Linked DNA regions of Rattus norvegicus. The protein of the gene in region 1 purifies or fractionates together with the protein of each later gene. This does not show direct contact. Links are inferred from orthologs where the notes say so. Each region holds a gene or a part of one and is shown in the gene's direction. Other genes may lie near its edges.

Region 1 (3,685 bases):
TTGCAGAAGGTTCAGTGGGAGGTAGAGGTTCTTTCCAGAACGTTCCTTCACAGATCCTCCCCCCACCCCAAGACCGCCTTTGGATTTGTAGTCCTGGAAATCTCTGCTAATTTCCCATGGCAGGTTTTTCTGTTTATCAGCTAGAACGGCATTTCCTTAGAGAGACCTTCATGACTACCCTTCATCACTAATTGGCTCCTCCCTCTGTCAATCACGCTGTTATCTGACCTTATTTCTTATATTTCTATATAATCTTACCCGCGGATTCAGACAAGCCCATTAAAAAATGTTTACCTCTGTTTTATGTGAATGTAAATTTTTAAGAAGGCAGAGATATTTATTTGTGTGTGGTATGTGTAGATGTGAATGCTTACTTCAGGATGAGCTGGCTCCGCAGAAAAGAGTGCTTGATGTCGGGCCTGACGACTTGAGTTCAATCTCTGAGACCCCACTTGGTGGAAGGCAAGAATCGACTCCTTGAGTCGTTCTCTGACACACACACACACACACACACACACACACACGCACACACACTCTAAATAAAATGCAATAAAAACTACTACATTAAAAATGCTACCTTTGCAATATGTATACAGCAGCCATTTAAAACCAGGTTTGCGGGACGAAGGAAAAATGCTTCCTTGGTACAAAGGTGGCAAAAGCCAGGGATAGCAGAGCGGAGGGGCGTGGCTGCCCGGAACCTAAGAGCCGCGGTTCCGGAAGTCTCCAGCCGACTACGGACACTTCCGGCGGATGGACAGTCCGTCCACAGCTGGCTGCCCCTGGGTGACGCGTAGGCCTGGGAGCGGCAAGCATGGAGGACCATAACCTGGAGGAGTTCCGCCAGCGCTGGCAGGAGGAATTGGCGCAGTCGCAGGCGCTGAGGCGACGGCGGCGGCTCGAGGCTGGGGAGCGGCGGCCCCGGAGACCGGAGGCGGGAGCGCGCGGCGAGCCGGCCTCGGGGTACCTGGGGCTGGCGCAGGGTCTGCTGGAGGGCGCGGGCCGACCCCCGGCGCCCAGGCCCGGCCGGACCGACAGGAAGGATGTGTCCAGCCGTTCGCGCTCACCCCCGGACCGCGACGCCGCGGAGCCCGAGCCGCTGGTGGACCAGCTCATCCGCGACTTGGTGAGTGACAGAGGCGAGATGGCTTTCCCTGTGGCCCACCCTGTGGGGTTAGGGGCGCAGGTACAGCAGGGATCCTGCACACCCAGGTAATCCCTGGAAGCAGTGGTTCTCCTCTGGCAGCTTTGCCTGTAAACATTTTAGGGTGTTGACAGTAGGTGTGCGCGCGGTCTTGGGCTTGCAAGAGGGTAGAAGAATGCTCGCAAACACCAATGTTCAGGACACCCTCTCCCCACCCCGCAAAGAGAATCCACCCATAAAGGACTGCGGATGAGTTTGAGAAATCCTGCCCTAGAAACGTCCTTAACCTGTCAGAAAGGTTGACTCTGGAGAGGGAGGTTAAGAAAAAGCAGAGGACGGAAATTATGCTCACTTTTCTCTGTATTCTTTGATTTTCCTAACGTAACGTGTTACTTAAAGAAAAATAGCAACCATAAATCAGAAGGAACGAAAGGACTATGGCGAAGAAGAATCCTTTGGTCAGCATTTTTAGGAGGCCTTTGGAGGGCATGGGTCTCTTGGAGAATCAGGAAACCCTTTTCCCCAGCCTCATTTACCAAGTCGATAGAATCAAATCAAGAACCCCTAACATGGATCCATGGCTTTCAGGTTAAGAGTTAGGTCAGAACAGAAGGTTTTAATGGTTTCACTCAAACCAGGTTCAAAGAACATTTCTTTTCTTTTTTTTTAAGTTTATTATATTTTATTGTGCCAAAGAACAATTCTACAGTTCAGTAGGGAATACTTTTCCGTGAGTGAAAGTTGTTTAGAGGAATAACAGGATCAAGCTGGAGAGATGGCTCCGTAGTTAAGAGCGCAATATGCTCTTCTGGAGTTGGGTTTCTGGTACCCATGTCAGGTGGCTCACGACTTCCTGAAACTGCGGTTTCAGGATATTTAATGTCTCTGGCTTCCATGGACACTTGCACACATGAGTACAGCCCCCCCCCCCCAACACACACACACAGACACATACTTTTTTAAAAATGGTTAACTTTATGCAATGGAAAGTTTTGTTTAAATGCTTCTACATTGAGTTTTAAGGCCATCTTTCTTTTAAACGAGTGTCTGGTGCTCTGCCTTGATTCTATAGTAGCCATAATATGAGGTAGATAACTATTTCCTTTTACATACGGACCCCAAGGCAATGGTATTTTTATTTAAATTTTATTTTATTTCTTTTTTTCAATTTGCTTAGAATTACCCAACTGAGAAATTCTGGGGATTGAATTTGGATTCCTGTGTTTTAACTTCACCAAGTGAAGCTTGAGTTCCCCGACCCCCATCCCCCTGGCCTTAGTGTAGGTTCCTGAGTCCTCTCAGACCTGCTAAGCAGCAGCCTGGGGAAGTAGCTCATCTGATGACTGAGAACCCGTGGGGGTTTAGATACCGTCAGCTGTGTAGCCTCTGTGCTGGCTAGTTTTTACGTCAACTTGACACAAGCCAGAGTGACTGGAAAGGAGGAGCCTCAACTGAGACGATGCCTCCGTAGGATTGAGCTGTAGGCAAACCTGTAGGGCATTTTCTTAATTAGGGATTGGTGGGAGAGGGGATGGTTCATTGTGGGTAGAAACACCCATGGCCTGGTGGTCCTGGTTTCCATAAGGAAGCAGGCTGAGGAAGCCAGTAAGCAGCACCTCTCCGTGGCCTCTGCAGTAGCTCCTGCCCCAGGTTCCTATCCTGACTTTCTGCAGTGATGGACTATGATGTGGAGATATAAGCCAAGTAAATCCCTTTCGCCCCTCATCTTGTTTAGGGTCATGGTTTTTATTACAGCAATTAAAAACCTTGACTAAGATAGACCCGAAATCCTAATACACAAGACTTTCCAGCCTCACACTCAGGCAGCACTCCAGAATCAGAAATAAAGTGTCAGGGACCTAGGAGGAAGGTCCAGGGCATACCAGACTCTTAAGTTTCATATGGAGTTGGCAAAAACCTTCCCTGTGTCTTGTCCCAGGGGTGAATGATAGTAGGCTCCTCTGCCCAGCCAGAAGCACCACACTAGGAACTGTTTTGGTTTCTTCTGAGCAGCAGCCAGCTCTCCAATTAGTGACATCTGTACAAAAGAAGACGCCATGGGTCATTGTGTGCTCAGGTGACTGGAATTACACAGGTTGAGCCACCTGACATGGGTGTTAGGAATAGAATTTGGGACCCTTGGATGACAGATTCTGCTCTTAACTATCAAGGTGTCACTGTGTACCTTAGACTGGCATTAGATTCTTTCTTTGCCCCCCAACCCCCGTGTGTGTGTGTGTGTGTGTGTGTGTGTGTGTGTGTGTGTATGAGAGAGGAGGGTGGTTGAGATTTCCTGTAGATGTCTGTGCGCTCAGCCTGCATGTGGAGAGCAGAGGACAGCCCCGGATGTTGACCCTCAGGCACCTCCACATTTTATTTGGCTTGGAGCGTTGTCACAAAGCCCAAGCTAGCTGTCCCTTGCACTTCCAGACATTTGTTTCTTCTCTCTTCCCACCTTCTCTGGTATCTCAGGCATATGTCTTCATGCTTGCCTTTTTCCATGTGTCCTGGAGGTCTAAGCAGGGTCCTTACACTTGTAAG
Region 2 (2,815 bases), on another chromosome or scaffold:
CGCAAACTACTGATTCAGGTGACTGAACCATGTCTGCACTGTATGCTTAGGGAAATGTGTTGGCCTCATCTGTGCTCTAACTGGAAAGAGCTGCCAGAGTGACACAGCTTAGTAACGGCCAAAGATGCCTGAAGCGGCACACTGGTGTCTGAGGGATGAAGTATGTCATGTACCAAACAAAAGCAGTCTACTCTTCTTCCTAAATATTGGGCAACAGATAATATATGGCAGATTAAAGAAGCAGGACAGTGGGGGCAAGGGTAGGTACCTTTTATAGCTTTAGAGATCCATCTTTTCTTTATTCTTTAGTGCTAGAGTTGGCCAAAATATTTAAGATTTACATTTATTTTTTTATACATGTTTTGTCTAAATGTAGGCACACCTGGGGCACTGGTGTCCCCAGAGGCCAGGAAAGGATGGTGCATCTGCTGGAACTAGAGTCAAGAGTGTTGGGAGCTACTGCTGTAGGTGTGGGAACCGAGCTCAGTATGCTTAAACCACTGAGCCATCAATCTCTAGCCCCTTGGCTATAACATTTTGTTTGTTCTGTTAGGGCTGAAATATAGAGCTGATTGTTTGCACTCTCTCTGACCTGTAGGACACTTGTTATCCCAGCATGGAGTAGAACTGAGGCGTACAGGCTGCCTTGAATGTTCATGCTCAGCTGTTAATGCTCTAAGCCTGTTTTTCTTTGTTGATTACATAGGCGGCCATCGTAAGAATCATGAAAATGAGGAAGGTTCTGAAACACCAGCAGTTACTTGGTGAAGTCCTCACTCAGCTGTCCTCCAGGTTCAAACCTCGGGTCCCAGTGATCAAGGTACAGGAATTACAGAGCAGCAGCTATATCTTCTGATTGTTAGGAAACTTGTAGCAAAATGCTTAATGGCTGTTTCCTGAAAATGGGAATTGGGTTACTACTAGAAGAAACTTCAACAAAGTCAGCCAACTTGATGCTTGAAGTAAATATAAGAGATGTACATGTCGTAAATATGCTTTTATAATTGATATCCTGATAAGGAGTTAAGTCACAGGCATCTAAAAGGTCACATGTTCCTCCCCTATCCTCCCTGTGTTTCTCTGTCAGTGAGCTGCCCTGCAGCCTTGGCTGGCTTTGCCTGGTGGGAAGCAGTGTAGAGAGAATGTTCTCTGCTGCTGAGAACTTGTCTGGCAGTATGAAGGGATTCATTCTGGGCTGCCTTTAGGAAATACTTGTCCATTTCTGCTGCCATGCAGGGACACACTCCTCTGTATCTAGGGCACTAATGATCACATTTGCTTAGTTTCTGCTGGCAATAACTCAGCAGGCCTTTCCTTTTCTGAAACTACTTGGGTAAGCCTCAGCCAGTGGAGACCCAGGGATGGCAGTGCATGGTGAGTCCTCAGTGGTCAGGAGCTATTAGTACCATTGCTAGCCTGTTCTTCAGGTTCTGACTCACCCCTCCTGTGCTTCTAACCTGTGACTTCAGAGTCCTGCCCAGGGGCAGCCACTTTGTTAAAAAGGGAAATTGTGACCTAGATGTGCTAGAGCCCTTGCCTTCTTAATGCATAGGGCAGTTTGGGGTGGGGTGTGTATGCAGTCACCCATAGGTGTTACTGAAGGACTGCATTCAGGACAGTAGACAGGTTGAATCTGCTCCCTGCTGAGCTCAGTGGAGGGTAACTGGTGAGAGATAGACCTCTTTCCTGATGGTTATTTGCCTTTCTCTTCCCCCTTAACTCCCTCTTCTTCCCAAAATAATGCCCAGAAATGCATTGATATTCTCATCGAAAAAGAATATTTGGAGCGAGTCGATGGTGAGAAGGACACCTACAGTTACTTGGCTTAACCCATCTAGCAGGGTCTCCGTGACCCACGAGCAGATAGTTCCAGTGAATAAAGTGGAAACAACTCGAGTTCATAGCAGCCAGCCTGCCACCATTTGGACCTTCCTTTTTAAAGCTGAGACCACAGTTTCCACCAGCTGGTCTCAAGCTACAGCAGGACTGCTCAGGACTGACACATTTCAGTCTGTAAACAGACGCCAATGCCATTTACCCTAACTCACAGACAGAGGGGAACCGAACCTTCCATGCTGAGGCTGCATGCTACCGCACTTAAATCAATACATTGGCTCCCTGGTTAACAGCTGTCGTCTGAGGCAGCACACGAGAGCGAGTCTGAATGGACCCACGTGTAATCTGCTATGAAAACCATTTGTATAGTGTGTTTCATTTTTTTAATGTGTGAAAATAAAGAAAATTAAAGGATTTCTGTACAAGTTGCATTTGGTTTTGTTTTAAGTTTTACTAATTTCTATTATGTAAATAAAAGATTTAATGATTGTGCAAGTGTATATTCCTAGTGTCTTCCTGGAATCCAAAAGGGCTGCATTCTTTGGATTGGAAATTAAGATCTTAATTTTTAAAGCCCTTAAATCTTTTTGGGCACTGACCCCTTATTTTCTGAGACTTCTTTGAGTACCATTGAGTATGGCGTTTGAAAGAAGACGACTCCAGATTGCTGCTGTCGATTCTGCAGGGACTAAATGAATACTGAGACAGGTGTAGAAGCTGTTCTGTATTACCACTAGGAAGCTGGAATATGGAAGTAGAACCAACATACCTCCATAGTCCCAAGGTCCATTAGTGACAGGAAGTGGCAGCTAATTATTAGCAGGTTATGGTTCTAACCTGTAAGAGGCTGCCTGCTGATTGAGGTCAAAGTCATCTGAATTATCAGAAACTCCCTGACCACCAGGGAGGATGGTCAGCCCTCTCCACTTGTGGGTAAGAACTGAGAATCTCTCTCATTCCAGGTCCCTCCTAGTGAAGC
Region 3 (3,751 bases), on another chromosome or scaffold:
TCTGTGAAATGAAAGATTTTTTATTTTTAGAAAATGTTTTATTTTTTATTTAAAAATATATTTATTTGGGACTGGAGAGATGGCTCAGAGGTTAAGAATACTGGCTGTTCTTCCAGAGGACCTGAGTTCAATTCCCAGCAAACACATGGTGGCTCACAACCATCTGTAATGAGATATGATGCTCTCTTCTGGTGTGCCTGAAGACAGCAGCAGTGTACAAAAATACATAAAATACTAAATCTTTTTAAAAAAGAGAAAGATTTGCTTTAAAAATATTTATGTGCATTGGTGTTTTGATGTATATCAGTGTGAGAGTGTTGGATTCCCTATAAGTGGAGTTACAGATGGTTGTGAGCTATTATGTGGGTGCTGGAAACTGAACCCAGGTCCTCGGAGAGAGCAGCCAGTGCTCTTAACCAAGGAGCCGACTCTTCAGCCCCAAGAAAAGATTTTATTTTAAAAACGTTTTCATCGTGTGTGAATTTATATGTGTATAATCTGTGTGTAGGGGTGCACATGTGGAGACTGAATAATAACTTTATAGAGTTGGTTTTATGTGGATGCTGGGATTAAATTCAGGCCATGAGGCTTGCATGTTTTTACCGAGTTATCTTTTTTGTTCTTTTTTTTTTTTTTTTTTTTCGGAGCTGGGGACCGAACCCAGGGCCTTGCGCTTCCTAGGTAAGCGCTCTACCACTGAGCTAAATCCCCAACCCCATTTTACCGAGTTATCTTGTGGGCCCCCTTTTTATGTGCATGAATGTATTCTCTGTGCACACACGCAAATCACGTATGTAAGTGCACACAGAGATCGGAAGAGGGTGTTGGATCCCCTGGAACTGGAAATACAGAGGGTTGTGAGCCATCATATGGGTTCTGGGAGTCAAATCCAGGTTAAGGGGTTGCAAGGGCAACCCATGCTCCTAACCATTGAGCCACCTCTCTGGTTCCATCGCCTTAATTTTAAACGGACATTCATAATTGCAATGGCCTTCAAAGGATTTGGGACATCGGCACCCACACCTCTTGGGCTTTTGGGTCAAGGATGGCAGGTTGGGACCCCCGTTGCCTTTCGGGAAGGATGATGACGTGGGTCTTGGCTGTAGCTAAGAGAAGCCCTGGCCCCAGTGAGGCTCTGAGGGACAGCCACACCTCTGTGGGGGAGGAGAGGGAGGCTGCCCTGAAGGGAGTGGACAGCCCCGCTGCCAGTCTTCCCAGGCTTAGAGTGTAAGATGAGAAGGAGAAGGTGGGCCTCACCCAGGAGGGGAGGGCGCCCAGAAACTTCCTGCCGCTCTCAGCTCCACCGCAGACTGAGCGCAAGGTCAGTTTGGAGAGGGTGGCGGCCTGCCTGGGGGCGGGAGACCCTCCTCGGGGCTGGGCGGAGGCCTTTAAGCGCCTCGCCATATTGAACGGCCACGCTGAGCCATCTTTGTCTGCAGAGTCCTCCCACGAACTTTCAACTTCATCCCGGTGTCTGGGGCAAGGGAGCAGCGATCGGAGCTCGTGCGTTTCCAACTTGGAGCAGGGACACTGGCGATTCCAGTTTGGACTGAGCTTTGAGCCTCGGGACTAAGCGTGCCTCGGTTCATGTAAGCATCCTGGAAAACTCCTTGATACAACTCCGAGGGGGTTGGGGGAACCCAACTTGGACTTGTCGCCTGAAGAGAAAATTACAGGGAGGCGACACTGCGTGAGCAGAGTTGCTGGGACCCTCCACTGCTCCCTCCCCAAGACTAGAAGCCGAGAGAGCCTGGGCTTCTTGCCCCCAACTCGGGAGTCCACACTGGAGATCTTAAAGACTCTCGAGAAAAGCCACGTGGGGGGATGGTTCCCCTGGGGCTTCCTCCCCTCTCCCGATTGCCTGATCCTCTGGAGTGTCCCCGACGTCTGCAAAGATGTCGATCTGGATGTGTTAGTGGAGGCCTTAAGGCCTGTGGGCACCTTCAAGAAGATCGGGAAGGTGTTCCGCAAAGAGGAGGACTCCACGGTGGGGATGCTGCAGATTGGGGAGGATGTTGACTATCTGCTCATCCCCCGGGAGGTCCGGCTGGCTGGGGGCGTGTGGAGAGTCATCTCCAAGCCTGCCACTAAGGAGGCTGTGTTTCGGGAGCGGCTGATCCAGTTTCTGCAGGAGGAGGGCCGCACCCTGGAAGATGTGGCTCGTATCATCGAAAAGAGTACTCCACATCCACCCCAGCCCCCCAAAAAAGCCAAGGTGCCCAGAGTGAGGAGAGTCCCGCAGATGGTCACTCCTCCACTTCGGCTGGTTGTAGGCACTTACGACAGCAGCAATGGCAGCGATAGCGAGTTGAGTGACTTCGATACATCCAAAGTCAAAGGCAACAGGGGCTCCGGGAAGACCAGGAAGGTGCGCAAAATGCCGGTCAGTTACTTGGGCAGCAAATTCCTGGGCAGCGATGAGAGCGAGGATGATCAGGAGCTGGTAGAGGCCTTCCTCCGCCGCGGGGAGAAGAAGCCCAGCGCGCCTCCTCCACGGCGCCGAGTCAATCTTCCAGTGCCCATGTTTGAGAATAACCTGGGGCCCCAGCCATCCAAGGGGGACAGATGGCGGGAGTATGTCAGCCAGGTGTCCTGGGGGAAGCTGAAACAGAGGGTGAAAGGCTGGGCGCCCAGATCAGGCTCCGAGGTGGGCCAGGCCCAGCAGTCCTCCATAGCTGAGAGGGCTGGAGAAATGAGACACAGCCACACCAGCCCAGACCTGGATGATAGCTCCAGAAACACAGGAGACCTGAGCGACCAGACACTGATTACTAGACGCTGGAAGCCCAAGATCAAGTGGGTCTCCTTGAGACGATGCAGGAAGGAGCAGGTGCCACCCTCGGCTCACGGGACAGCTGAAGAGCCCCCAGAGGCTGCAGAAAACCAGGGAGCAGGGGCTGCAGCTGAACATGGGGTAGAGGCTGCAGCTAGCCAGAGGCCAGAGGCTGCAGCTAGTCCAAGAGCAGAGGCTGCAGCTAATCCAAGAGCAGAGGCTACAGCTAATCCAAGAGCAGAGGCTGCAGCTAATCCAAGAGCAGAGGCTGCAGCTAGTCCAAGAGCAGAGGCTGCAGCTAATCCAAGAGCAGAGGCTGCAGCTAATCCAAGAGCAGAGGCTACAGCTAATCCAAGAGCAGAGGCTGCAGCTAATCCAAGAGCAGAGGCTACAGCTAATCCAAGAGCAGAGGCTGCAGTTAATCCAAGAACAGAGGCTGCAGCTAATCCAAGAGCAGAGGCTGCAGTTAATCCAAGAGCAGAGGCTACAGCTAGTCCAGGGGCAGAGGCTGCAGCTAGTCCAAAGGCAGAGGCTGCAGCTAGTCCAAGGGCAGAGGCTGAAGTTAACCAGAAGACAGAGGCTACAGCTAGTCCAAGGGCAGAGACTGCAGCTAGTCCAAGGGTAGAGGCTGCAGCTAGTCTAAGGGTAGAGGCTGCAGCTAGTCCAAGGGCAGAGGCTACAGTTAGTCCAAGGGCAGAGGCTGTAGCTACTCCAAGAGCAGAGACTGCTGCTAGTGCAAGGATAGAAGCTGCAGCTAATCTCAGGGCAGGAGTTCTACCTGACCAGAGGGCAGAAGCCATAGATAGTCAGAGGGCAGAGGGCCCAGTTAACCAAAGCACTGGTGCTACAGAAAATCAGAGGGTGGAGGTCCTAGCTGACCAGAGGGCAGGGGTCCTCCATGACCAGAGGGAGGAGGCTGGACCTCAAGCTATACTGGAAGCCTCAGCTGATTCGGGATCTAGAGCCCGGAAACAGGTA

What was found.
Region 2: the proteins of Fbxw8 (region 1) and Cul1 purify together in Homo sapiens (affinity purification with western blotting; 9 studies listed by BioGRID and IntAct, with this or other methods). This does not show direct contact. The link is inferred for Rattus norvegicus from reciprocal best matches to the Homo sapiens genes FBXW8 and CUL1.
Region 3: the proteins of Fbxw8 (region 1) and Ccdc8 purify together in Homo sapiens (affinity purification with mass spectrometry; 3 studies listed by BioGRID and IntAct, with this or other methods). This does not show direct contact. The link is inferred for Rattus norvegicus from reciprocal best matches to the Homo sapiens genes FBXW8 and CCDC8.

The regions. Positions count from the first base shown.
Region 1 is NC_086030.1:44,086,616-44,090,300, forward strand, and holds the start of Fbxw8 (F-box/WD repeat-containing protein 8), read left to right. Parts: upstream 1-759; 5' UTR 760-814; coding exon 815-1,126; intron 1,127-3,685. UniProt on the Homo sapiens protein: Substrate-recognition component of the Cul7-RING(FBXW8) ubiquitin ligase complex, which mediates the ubiquitination and subsequent proteasomal degradation of target proteins.
Region 2 is NC_086022.1:77,617,739-77,620,553, forward strand, and holds the end of Cul1 (cullin-1), read left to right. Parts: coding exon 1-18; intron 19-706; coding exon 707-820; intron 821-1,748; coding exon 1,749-1,829; 3' UTR 1,830-2,250; downstream 2,251-2,815. UniProt on the Homo sapiens protein: Core component of multiple cullin-RING-based SCF (SKP1-CUL1-F-box protein) E3 ubiquitin-protein ligase complexes, which mediate the ubiquitination of proteins involved in cell cycle progression, signal transduction and transcription.
Region 3 is NC_086019.1:86,806,119-86,809,869, forward strand, and holds the start of Ccdc8 (coiled-coil domain-containing protein 8), read left to right. Parts: upstream 1-1,488; 5' UTR 1,489-1,993; coding exon 1,994-3,751. UniProt on the Homo sapiens protein: Core component of the 3M complex, a complex required to regulate microtubule dynamics and genome integrity. It is unclear how the 3M complex regulates microtubules, it could act by controlling the level of a microtubule stabilizer.